Linked DNA regions of Arabidopsis thaliana. The protein of the gene in region 1 interacts with the protein of each later gene in a pairwise test. Each region holds a gene or a part of one and is shown in the gene's direction. Other genes may lie near its edges. The genes, in order: NAC071, AT5G66940 and AT5G15060.

The links.
Region 2: the proteins of NAC071 (region 1) and AT5G66940 interact in a two-hybrid assay, tested with the Arabidopsis thaliana proteins (one large-scale study listed by BioGRID).
Region 3: the proteins of NAC071 (region 1) and AT5G15060 interact in a two-hybrid assay, tested with the Arabidopsis thaliana proteins (one large-scale study listed by BioGRID).

Annotation. Positions count from the first base shown.
Region 1 is NC_003075.7:9,978,080-9,982,218, reverse strand, and holds NAC071 (NAC domain containing protein 71), read left to right. Parts: upstream 1-1,663; 5' UTR 1,664-2,180; coding exon 2,181-2,337; intron 2,338-2,427; coding exon 2,428-2,717; intron 2,718-2,820; coding exon 2,821-3,045; intron 3,046-3,135; coding exon 3,136-3,342; coding exon of another isoform or gene 3,343-3,369; 3' UTR 3,370-3,516; downstream 3,517-4,139. UniProt on the Arabidopsis thaliana protein: Transcription factor involved in tissue reunion of wounded inflorescence stems. Required for the division of pith cells in the reunion process, which is dependent on polar-transported auxin and the wound-inducible hormones ethylene and jasmonate.
Region 2 is NC_003076.8:26,727,288-26,730,687, reverse strand, and holds AT5G66940 (Dof-type zinc finger DNA-binding family protein), read left to right. Parts: upstream 1-1,972; 5' UTR 1,973-2,021; coding exon 2,022-2,699; 3' UTR 2,700-2,869; downstream 2,870-3,400. Other genes in the region: AT5G66930 (meiotically up-regulated protein), read right to left, coding at 3,139-3,214, 3,364-3,400.
Region 3 is NC_003076.8:4,873,759-4,877,993, reverse strand, and holds AT5G15060 (Lateral organ boundaries (LOB) domain family protein), read left to right. Parts: upstream 1-2,044; 5' UTR 2,045-2,187; coding exon 2,188-2,613; 3' UTR 2,614-2,966; intron 2,967-3,413; 3' UTR 3,414-3,662; downstream 3,663-4,235. Other genes in the region: AT5G15070 (Phosphoglycerate mutase-like family protein), read right to left, coding at 69-132, 215-298, 482-528, 796-855, 1,028-1,096.

The DNA of each region.
Region 1 (4,139 bases):
GTTACATACTTATATCAAAGAAACGAGCTAGAAAAAACATTAGAGAAATGTAAAATATATCTCTCTCTTTTTGGTTAACCAAGGTTTACTAATCCGATATACAAGAATGACATGCAAATAAACATAGGGTTAAGTTGTAAAGTAGTCAGATATTTAAACTTAATTATGGAATTGGGCAAATTACTATTTATAATTGGATTTTTAGTCACTAACCTTTGACCCTATTACAGACAAAATCAAATATACCCCATACCAACTCTATTATTTACAAATATGCCACTAATCTTCTTCTTCTCCAATGTCGTTGAAAGCAATTGGGATTTGTGCTTTTAGATTCAACATTTCTCTCTCCTCATACTCACATTCTTTGTATTTCTTTATATATATATATATATATATATATATATATATATATATATATATATATATTTATTTATTTTTTAATAACCTCTTCAATCTAATAATTGAAATGCTTATCAATGTAAATTTATTTTCTAAATTAATTCAGATACATAAAAATCTATATTTTTTCTCTATAATTTGATATGCATTTTGTTAATAATTTTAAATATATTATATAAACATTTTTATTAGTAGTCAGTACAGTTAATTATGTGTACAGATTTTTATTTATACAACTTATTTAATAAGTACAAATTGAAATCGTCCAGCCATAATTGGAAAAATAGTCATTTTACTATTCACAATTTGCAAAGTAGTCACTTTTAACTGTTTGATTCGTACACTTAGATCTGTACAACATTTTTTAGTGTACAGATGTAAGTGTACGTTGTGTATATTTATATATATATATATACACTAAAAATATTGTACAGGTCTAAGTGTACGAATCAACAGTGAAAAGTGACTACTGATAATTGTATACTCCATACAATTATATACTCTGTACAGCTAATGCAACGTACAAAATAAAGTCTGTACACATAATTAAGTGTACCGACTACTGATAAAATGTCTGTAATATATTAAAAATATTAACAAAATGCATATCAAATTATAAAGAAAAATACATAGATTTTTATGTATATGAATTAGTTTAGAAAATAAATTTATATTGATAAGTATTTCAATTATTAAATTGGAGGGGTTATTAAAAAGAAATAAAAAAAAAAAGAATATTTCACTTTTATCTTTCTTCTCTGTCAAAAGGATAGTTCGGTAATTTCAAAACACATCACTTACCCCACCCCAAACTTCTATTTCACGCTCGTCTATTACACGCCCAAAGTGAGTTACATGTTTTGTCAAGTGTAAATAGTAACTTGCCCAACTCCATAATTATGTTTTCAAAAGTGACTAATTTGCCAACACACCTATAAACATATCGTTTTACAAAACGAAACGACGTCTTATGAAATTAAAAAATAGAAAAATAAGTTTTGATTAATTATAGGTGATAGTATTATTGAATCATTGATGTGTGAAGTGTGAACAAGTCTAACTTTAGAGACCAGGTAGGTCCACTTTCTTTTTGAATTTTGGGAACTCTTAAGACAAGCAATGTCTTTATCCGCTTTCGGTGTGTCGAGTTATTTTTTCTTCTGAATATTAACGGCACTGACTATTATAATACTGTTTGTTTATTCTACAGAAAAATTCATCAACATATTTTAAGCTATGATTAAATTTGCCTCACAAAGTTTCGCAACCTTTGTGCTATAAATATCATTCACCCCACAACCATTCAACACTCTACCAACCTTCTCTTCTTCTCTCCGATCTTAATCACTCTCCTAATCAATACTCACTAATAACTTTTTTTTTTTTTTGGTCTTGTATAGCTAATAAGTCAGAGAACCCTTTTCCTCAGTCAGACTCTTTGACCCGCAGCAATTAGCTCTTCCACCAACTGCTCTTCGTTATTTCTGAATTGTACCTTAAGTTTGTTTCTATTTTTTTTCTTAGGTGTTAGATATATTTTTAAAAAGAGAATTTTGGATAATTCGTTTTTTTTTTTGTAAACATACAATCTCTTTCAGACAATGATATTGTCACAAAAAGGATGCAATCAAAGTGAGTTGCAACTTATTTTCAAAAACAAATTGAATGTCGAAAAAAGTTTATATTTTTAGATTTTCCAAATAGTCAATAGATATTTAGTTAAATATTAGCTTTCGACAACTCTCTTGTGTCGCAAGCTACAAGTGTGAATTTTGCAAATGGGGAGTTCATGTTTGCCTCCAGGATTTAGATTTCATCCAACTGATGAAGAGCTCATAGGCTACTACTTGAGTAGAAAAATAGAAGGTCTCGAGATTGAGCTTGAAGTCATTCCTGTTATCGACTTATACAAATTTGATCCTTGGGAGTTGCCAGGTAATTTGAAAAGGAAAACAATTAGATTTTTATCCATAAATTTATATTTAAATAAAACTAAATTTGTTTGATTTTATCTTTGAATTTTAGGTAAATCTTTCCTTCCAAATAGAGATTTGGAATGGTTCTTTTTCTGTCCAAGAGACAAAAAATATGCAAACGGTTCTCGAACCAATAGGGCTACAAAAGCGGGTTATTGGAAAGCAACTGGTAAAGACCGGAAAATCACTTGTAAATCATCGCATGTTATAGCTGGATACCGAAAAACCTTAGTTTTCTATGAAGGTCGTGCCCCATTAGGCGACAGAACTAATTGGTTTATGCATGAATATCGTCTATGCGATATTGATGATCATTCACAAAAATCACCAAATTTCAAGGTAAGAAAATTAGAGTTCGTTTCATTTGATCCAACTTCATAATATTCATTTTTATGAACTAATGGAACGAAGCCTAAAAACCATATATATGTTTGAATTTTAGGGAGCTTTTGCGTTATGTCGCGTAGTTAAGAAGAATGAACTGAAGAAAAATTCGAAAAGTTTGAAAAATAAAAACGAACAAGACATTGGTTCTTGTTACTCTAGCCTCGCGACCTCTCCTTGTCGCGATGAAGCGTCGCAGATTCAATCGTTCAAGCCTTCTTCTACTACAAACGACTCTTCAAGCATTTGGATTTCTCCTGATTTCATCCTTGATTCGTCAAAGGTACCTACATCTATTATCTAAACCAAAATAGTTTTTGTATAGACAGTAGTGGTCTGATATGTGTTTTTGGTTTTGTGATTTTAAATATAGGATTATCCTCAGATTAAGGAGGTTGCTTCTGAGTGCTTTCCCAACTACCATTTTCCGGTCACCACGGCAAACCACCACGTGGAATTTCCGGTGAGCTCTTGTTATTTCAATGTGGACCAGGACATTGATCAGTCGATGCAAACCGGTTATTGGACAAATTATGAAAATGACCAAACCGGTTCATTTGACTACTCAAACCTTTTTTAGCTACAAGAAATGTTGGTTCGTTCTTAGGACAAAAACGCCTTTTAACGTTGGTGTCTTGGAACTTGGAAGAAGAAGAAGAACTAGTTGTGAACGTCTATCATTTTCTTTTGAGAATTTAATTATCTTACTCTTGGTTTTTATTTTAGTTTTATATATATTGTTTGCTAATATAAGGAATGAGTATAATAAATTCCTTATTTAAAGTTTTTTCGTATGAAGATTTACGTTATTATAGAGTCTTATTTTAATGTTCCGATACCTTTGATATGATATATGCAAAGAGAATCAATCATGTTCTTCTCAATCATTAATTGGACCAAACTTATATTATATAAAGCAACTTATGTAGAAGTCATAACAATCATTTGCATTAAAAATCCAATATTTTGTCTATAAAAGCAATAGTTTCGGGACCATTTTGACATTTCAAAAGTTTATGTAAACAAAATTCCATAAATATGCAGAGATTAAAATCAAAAACTATGTGACGCAGCAATTTGTTTACAGATGTATGAAAATCCCAAAAGCTTGCATTTCTCAATTGTTAGAGACCTTTCAAACAAAATTCTTTTTTCCATGAGCTTTCTACATTTCATTCTTTTAAAATTTATAAGAATATTTCTTCCTCTTGAAAATGATCTACGAAATACTTTTGATATATAGTCTATATGATTTACAAAATGTGAACAATATCAAATTGGGTCCATAGCTCAGTGATAGAGCAATTGACTGCAGATCAATAGGTCACCGGTTCGAACCCGGTTGGGCCCTTCCTTTTTTTGTTTTTTCTTTTTTTT
Region 2 (3,400 bases), on another chromosome or scaffold:
AAGTTATTTTCAGCTTTGAATATATTTTTCATAATGGGATGTTTGGTGAAACATGCACAAACACAACATAAAAGCCATATAATTAGGGACTTATAATAAAGAACGATTATTGCATGTTTTCTTTACACTGTCATGTCACATTGCATATCATTTTAATCAAATCACATCACAGTATCAATACCTATATATCTAGAAGAACTATATCAAATTATCAACTATCGTTTGATTAGTTAGCAAGAAAGAGAGAGGATAATTTAGCCCAACAATGTTGTTTTTTCCACGTAAGTTTGTAGTTGATTTCATTTGGGTCATAACAAAATCCGCCCATATATGGTTTCGTTTCATAGACTCGGCTTGGGGTTTGTTTAGCAGGGTGTCAGATTCACATCTAAAATACAACAGTCACAAATCTCTTATGTTAAGGCCCATGGTCCAAGGGGTATACATATTAGGCCCATTAGAAATACGGACCAGAAGGTAAATGACGAAAACACCCTTTCAAAAGGAAACAGAGAAGGACTGAGACTCAGAGAGGAAAAGGACAAAAAGAATGGGATAAAGAGAGAAGGTGTGTCAGAATTTGACCAGATTAGACCGGTCGGTACACAGAGTAAGGACGGCTCTGAACCAGTGTAGACACGTCTTGGCACATACTTCTCACATGTCTCTCTCCAAAATGTTGGATGCTTTTTGGTGTGAAAGGGAGTGAAGATTTGCATGCTTCTTAACTCCTAGCTTCTCCGTATCCATTCTTTACCCGACAACCTTCGCTTCTGTCTCTTCACAAAACGAATCTCTTCTGTCTCTTTTGACTGTTTTTAGCCTCCCCAATTTTACAATTACTACCCTCTCTTCTTTCCTGTGGAACAAATCACATTTGTCACACTCTCTCTCTCTACCTTAAAGATCCATTTGTCTTGTTCCTCAAGATCATGTTAAGTCAGAATTCACCCGACTATTGTTATTCTGTCTTCATGGTATTGTCTAGATTTTTACTTTTTATAGCTCCTAAACAACATAAGATTTATAATCTATTATTACACCGTAATGATAAAACAAATTGAAAACATTGTCTTAATCTTGATGCATGCTGAGAGATAAGATAAGACCATAACAAAACTTAAAATTGATAATCAAGTTGGTTTAACGTAAAACTGTTGAGTACTTTTACTTGATGTTTTAAATGTAGTTTTTTTGAGGACCTGAACGCATTGATTCTGCATTTATACTGGTATTCTATTAAGGACCTGTAGTGATTGGTAGCACATCTACACACACCATCAATCTCTTAGGTCCATATACCATTTAATCCTTCTTTTTTTGGAAAAGATGCACACAACAAATTAGGCTAATGAGCCCTCCTAAACACTTAACAATATAATGGCTGTATTATTGGGAACTGCTTTACATCGATAAGCTCAATAGTCTCTACTACATGTAGCCTACTCTCTTCACAGTTCAGTCTTCACTTCCCGTAGACACGTACTTTTGACATAAAATTTAATGTATTTCTTAAAACAAATATTGCATGTAGAAACCTTTTTTAACTTTTAACTCAGAAATTCGACGTGTATAACACCATAATTAAAATTAAAATTTCAAAAGCATTGTTAGTCAGCAAATGTAATCATATGATTTTTCTTTCACTTATTTATCATAAGTTATTTTCAATTTTGGTTTCTTCCAACATTCACTAATGTCTATGCCATCAAAACGTGTGACAGATTATGGATGGAGAGATTAGAGAATCGTGGTTTTATTTCAAAACAGAAAATCTTGAAAGAAGAGCCACCAGCTACGTATAATGAAGTAAAGAAACAGAGCATATCTATTCTCTCTCTATGTTCACAATAAACCCAACATACTCTGTCAAAAAGCTTCACTTTCTTCTCCTTCCCCATCTCTCTCTCTCTCCCTCTCCTCCATAAAAGGAAACTCTTACTCTATCACAAAGTTCCAACCTTTAACTCTCCAAAGCTTCAAAAACTCTCAACTTTCAGATAACCTCTCTTCTCAACAACATGCCTTCTGAATTCAGTGAATCTCGTCGGGTTCCTAAGATTCCCCACGGCCAAGGAGGATCTGTTGCGATTCCGACGGATCAACAAGAGCAGCTTTCTTGTCCTCGCTGTGAATCAACCAACACCAAGTTCTGTTACTACAACAACTACAACTTCTCACAACCTCGTCATTTCTGCAAGTCTTGTCGCCGTTACTGGACTCATGGAGGTACTCTCCGTGACATTCCCGTCGGTGGTGTTTCCCGTAAAAGCTCAAAACGTTCCCGGACTTATTCCTCTGCCGCTACCACCTCCGTTGTCGGAAGCCGGAACTTTCCCTTACAAGCTACGCCTGTTCTTTTCCCTCAGTCGTCTTCCAACGGCGGTATCACGACGGCGAAGGGAAGTGCTTCGTCGTTCTATGGCGGTTTCAGCTCTTTGATCAACTACAACGCCGCCGTGAGCAGAAATGGGCCTGGTGGCGGGTTTAATGGGCCAGATGCTTTTGGTCTTGGGCTTGGTCACGGGTCGTATTATGAGGACGTCAGATATGGGCAAGGAATAACGGTCTGGCCGTTTTCAAGTGGCGCTACTGATGCTGCAACTACTACAAGCCACATTGCTCAAATACCCGCCACGTGGCAGTTTGAAGGTCAAGAGAGCAAAGTCGGGTTCGTGTCTGGAGACTACGTAGCGTGATAGAGACTATCGGATCAGCTTCTACTTCATCGGAGGGTTTCAATCTATCTTCTTCTTCTTTTAGCTTCTCTACCCTAACTTTCAGTTTTAGTTGATCTGGTTCTTATTTAGTTAGGTTACTTGTGAACGAAACTTCAAATCAGAGAAACGTTTGTTTGTTTGTTTGTTTTTTTGGCTCTATTTAATGTCAATTCCAACTTTAGAAATCTTGGAAAACAGAACAGTCCACGTTGTTTAGGAAATGCAAGTCTGAAATTTATATACAACACATCACTTATATACAACAAAGCATAGATAAGGTAACATTATCCATCGACGAGGAGAGGGTAACATATAATATATTTACACAGAAAATGTAACTAGGAAAGTGTTGATTGGAGTTAGGCTGCACCAAGAAACATCAAAGTGTATATGTACTAAGTTAAGTGGAAAATGGAATTTAGCCGAGCATTGATGGATGGCCACTGTGTAGTATCCTCTTGAACATATCCATCCCAAAGGCAGAGTCCGATGAGCTGAAACAAAACTTAACTCATTTCAACACTTGTACAACAAAGATATAAAGAACATTCTTCACTCATCTATGTCTGTGGGGATCGCTACACCTAAAGACTAAGATCTCTAGAACACAGTTTGATATGTGAATAAATGAAGACTGATGTACCTTGGGATAGTGATCTCAAAAGGGTAGTAGATTACAC
Region 3 (4,235 bases), on another chromosome or scaffold:
TGAAAAAAGAAAATGACATGGTGATTAGAAATGCACAGGCCAACTTTCATGCAATGTAAAATAGTTACCTCATACACTTTCCGGCGGTCATGAAGAAGATATTGGGGATCGAGTTCATTCACTAAAAAGGGCCTGAATATAGAAGTTTGAACTCAAAAGCCAAACTCAATTTATTTACTGAACAATCAACAAAGGTTAAAAAGGTAGAACTCACTTTCTTAAAGAAGAATATGCTTGAACTTTCTCAAGAGGATATCCAGAGGAATAGAAAGCAATCAAACAATCACAAATCGGCCAACTGAAACAGTAAAGGGAGTAAAGTCCCTGGTGAATTTGTGGTCCAAGAATATAATGGTACTTGATAATCATTAACTACACTCTCTCCATATAATCTAATAGAGAGAATTGGTACAAATCCATGAATTAAATAGGATAAAACCAAAAGTAAAAACGATATTCATAAATTTGTTTAGAGACGTACCTTTCTACTGGGTCTTCAAGTATGACCTTGTCCCCAAAATGTATAATCTAATAAAGTGGTAACAATGGGTCCATGAGATCACAAATAAAAAGGAAAAAAGAAGAGAATACACTATAGAGAATCCACAGAGACAGACACAAACAACTTGTAAAAATTACCCCAGGAAAACATCTTCCAATAAAATTGAAATCACAAATTAGAACTAAGTCTTTTCAAGAGACATTTTTATTCTCCAGGTGAAAAATCACCAAATGAAAAACCTGAGAAACATCAAATCCTCAATCATGAGAAAAATCGAGAAAGTGAAAAACTACCTCAAATTCGCCAAACGCATGTATCCTGTCCATAATTTGTCCCATGGGAGCTGAAAAAACCTAGAAAATCCACACACACGAACAATCTCAATAAGCGAGACATCAGAGTGAAATTGAAAACCTCACCGGAGTAACAACAGATTCAACGAAACTATCGCAATCTGTTCGTCAGAGCAAGAAAACGCGATAATAAAAGCACGAAAGGAAACAAAACCTCGGGGCCGCATTTCACCTTCTTTTCCATGACGCAGACTCCAATCGTTATCTTCTTATCAACACCAGCTCCTTCTTCCACCCCCATTTTCGCTCTCTCCTCCCGATACGAACCTCTTTCCGTTTCGTTCCTCGAACGACGTTCTCTCGTTCTCCGTCTGAAATCAGAGATTCACAAAACACAACGAAAAATTCGTTCAGAGAGAACAGAGACTAAATCGCTTGGGTTTGGAACAATCTCGGAATCATGGCCGCAACTAAGATAGGATCATAAATAGAAGAAACAGGTAGTGCATAACATGAGAGAGCAATGCGAGATCTCGCAGAGAAAAAGTCGAGGAGAAACGTTACTGGGGAAAATGATGATCACAAGCAGAGAGAGCAATAGCTAGAGATAGTGCGCTGATGGCACGAGGAAAGAGAGAGAGCCAGAAGATTCAGGCGTCAGAGGCGTTGCTTTGAATCAGAATTACAAAAAAAAAATGATTACCATTATATATAGATTTTGCTTGGTTTATTAAAATCATGGTCATTAATAATTTAATTAACCACCGACCGACAACTATACAAAACTCAAGTGAATTTTTAAAAAATAAGTGGATACATGATAATATTTACGGTGTTCTTTTTAGGAAGTTCTAAAATTGTGATTATTCTTGTGTATCCACAATTAAATATCACAATGTAATTATACACTAGTAAATTCACAATGCCTAATGAGAAGGTCAATAGAACGCGTTTTAAATTTTCAAGTAATCGAAATGGTCCATGTGTGTAGCCTATCAAATATATTGTTATCCAATCAAATGACTGAAAGAGCAAATGTTGAAGAAATATTGTCTGTTGGTTAAAGCCAAATTCTAAAATATTGTTGACTCATGGTTCGTCCACTAATTAGTTAAACAAAACGACTTGAAGTGGGGTTTATAATCTGGAAAAAAAAAACAGAATTAAACCGAGCTATAACGACATTTGTTATTAGAGAAGCTTTTTAATTCTTTATAATTATCAAATCTATCTCTTATAATTCTTCTTGCTTCACTCTGTTCTCTATAAATACTCGTTTCAATCTTTCTTTTTTCCCACTCTACAGAAAAAAAAAACTATAACAAAATCGGCGACGATGCCTAACAAACTCATTTTCTTCTTGATTCTCACATCAGATCAGTCATCATCTTGATGACATTGCAAGGCTCTTCCGGCGTAAATAACGGCGGTTATGTCAACCAATGCGCCGCTTGCAGGCACCAACGCCGTCGTTGCACACCGGACTGTTTCTTTCGTCCTTACTTTCCGGCGGAGCGACATCAAGAGTTCCAAAACTTTCATCGTCTACATTCCAATACCCGTCTCCAAAAAAAGCTCAAAGAATTAGGATTGTCTCCGGAGGAACAAAGAGAAGCAATGAGCTCGATCATATACGAATCCAACATACGCTCTCAATTCCCCGGCCCGTCGGTGGCTGTCACGAATACATTTTCCATCTTCGAACCCAAATCGCACTCGTCACCGCTGAACTACGTCGCACCCGTGATCAAATCACCGCCGCTTTCTTCAATCCCACCGCCGCCAGCTTCTTTAATTCCGCCGCTAACAACTTCTTAGATCCCTCCTCCGCCGTAAATCCTTTTCGAAACCTCACCGCAAACAACGACGATGGCACGATCGAATTCTTGAGCGGCGGAGGGTATTGTGGTAATTTCGTACACGAGGAGTGTGTGACTGAGACTAGGCCGTTAATCTTGGTTCGAATCTTTTTTTTTTTTTTTTTGGTAAAAGGTTGGTTCGAATCTTTCCCATGCAAATGCCAACGAAAATGACGTTAATCTTGAAGCGTTGGAACAAGAACAACTAGGTGGTGCTCCTCGTAACAACGATATCGAGAGAGTGTTTCGTGAATTCTTTACTGATGAGGAAATTATGTCTCTCTTGGAAGCTCAAGTTTCCCGCCACAAGTGGTACGTTTTCCGATTTCCTCATTTCATTACTTGCACTATTTAATTTTATGATTTTTTTTAGGATCAAAAACTGTTACATTATATGATTAAAACTACGCATAACTTTAAATATTTAATACAATGGCATAAACAAAAATATCTCCTTGTTTATTCTTGATTCCGTGTTTATGTCGTTCTATAACTTGAAAGAACTTTTTTTTTTTCACAGTTGGTAGTGCTTGCCAAAGTTTTTTTAATGTAGTAGTTAACATTTATTTGATTAGTTATGACTTTAGTGACTAGTCTAAAGATTAATAGACCGTATACTATATAGTATACATTTAAAGGAAGAATACGTGGGACCAATAAGCTATGCTTTTGGCCTAAAATGGCTTACGCATTTTATTATTATTTATAATTACACGATACCATCCTACTAATGCTGTTTCTTTTGTTTTTAATTAACAGTGCATATCAATCTATGACCAAGGATGATGACTTCCCATTTCCGTAGATCTTTCCACTTTGGGGATGAACTAGTCTCGATAGAGAAGAATATCTTTTGTACTTACTCTCTCTTTTTTTTTTCGTCGTACTTACTCTCTCGTAAAAATTCTTTTACTACTCTACATTCTCTTGTAGGCTTTTCTCCCATTTTCAATATGTAGATAACAAAAAAAAAAATTACTATACGAAAAGTAAAATACAGTTTAGACTTTCTGGATTCGTTTTAACATTATAGACTTTAAATAGGTCTGTACATTATTATCGAGAGAAAAAAAATCGGTTCAGTGTGTAACGCTAATTACTTGCACAAATTAAGAAAATCAATCTCTTAGTTTGGGTCTTTGGGAATTAATCATGTAAAGGCCGATAGAGGCCTTTGGTTTGTTCGACATTTTGACTCATCCATCCCCTTTAGTTGATATTTTGTATGTGGGCTTAAAGTGTTTCAATTCGGGCTTTCATAGATTTAAAGCCCATTAATCCTTGCGTGTTTAAGGGATTAGCATTACAGTGCTGATTAGTCAGCCTAATAGTCTGACAAAAGTCATTCAACAGTCAATAACTTAAAATGGGAAAGAATAAACTTGGAAGACCAGTTAAATGCTCTTCATTAATTTAAACCCTTTCCATACTACTCCTAAAAAAGTGTATCGTTTCTTAAGCAACCATTATATACTTACTAAAAAGAATTAGAAGATTTGAAATGACCATTTACTATTATTCAAACAATATATTTTCTTCAGAAATAGAAACTTTGACTGGGATAAAATGTACTTAAACTAT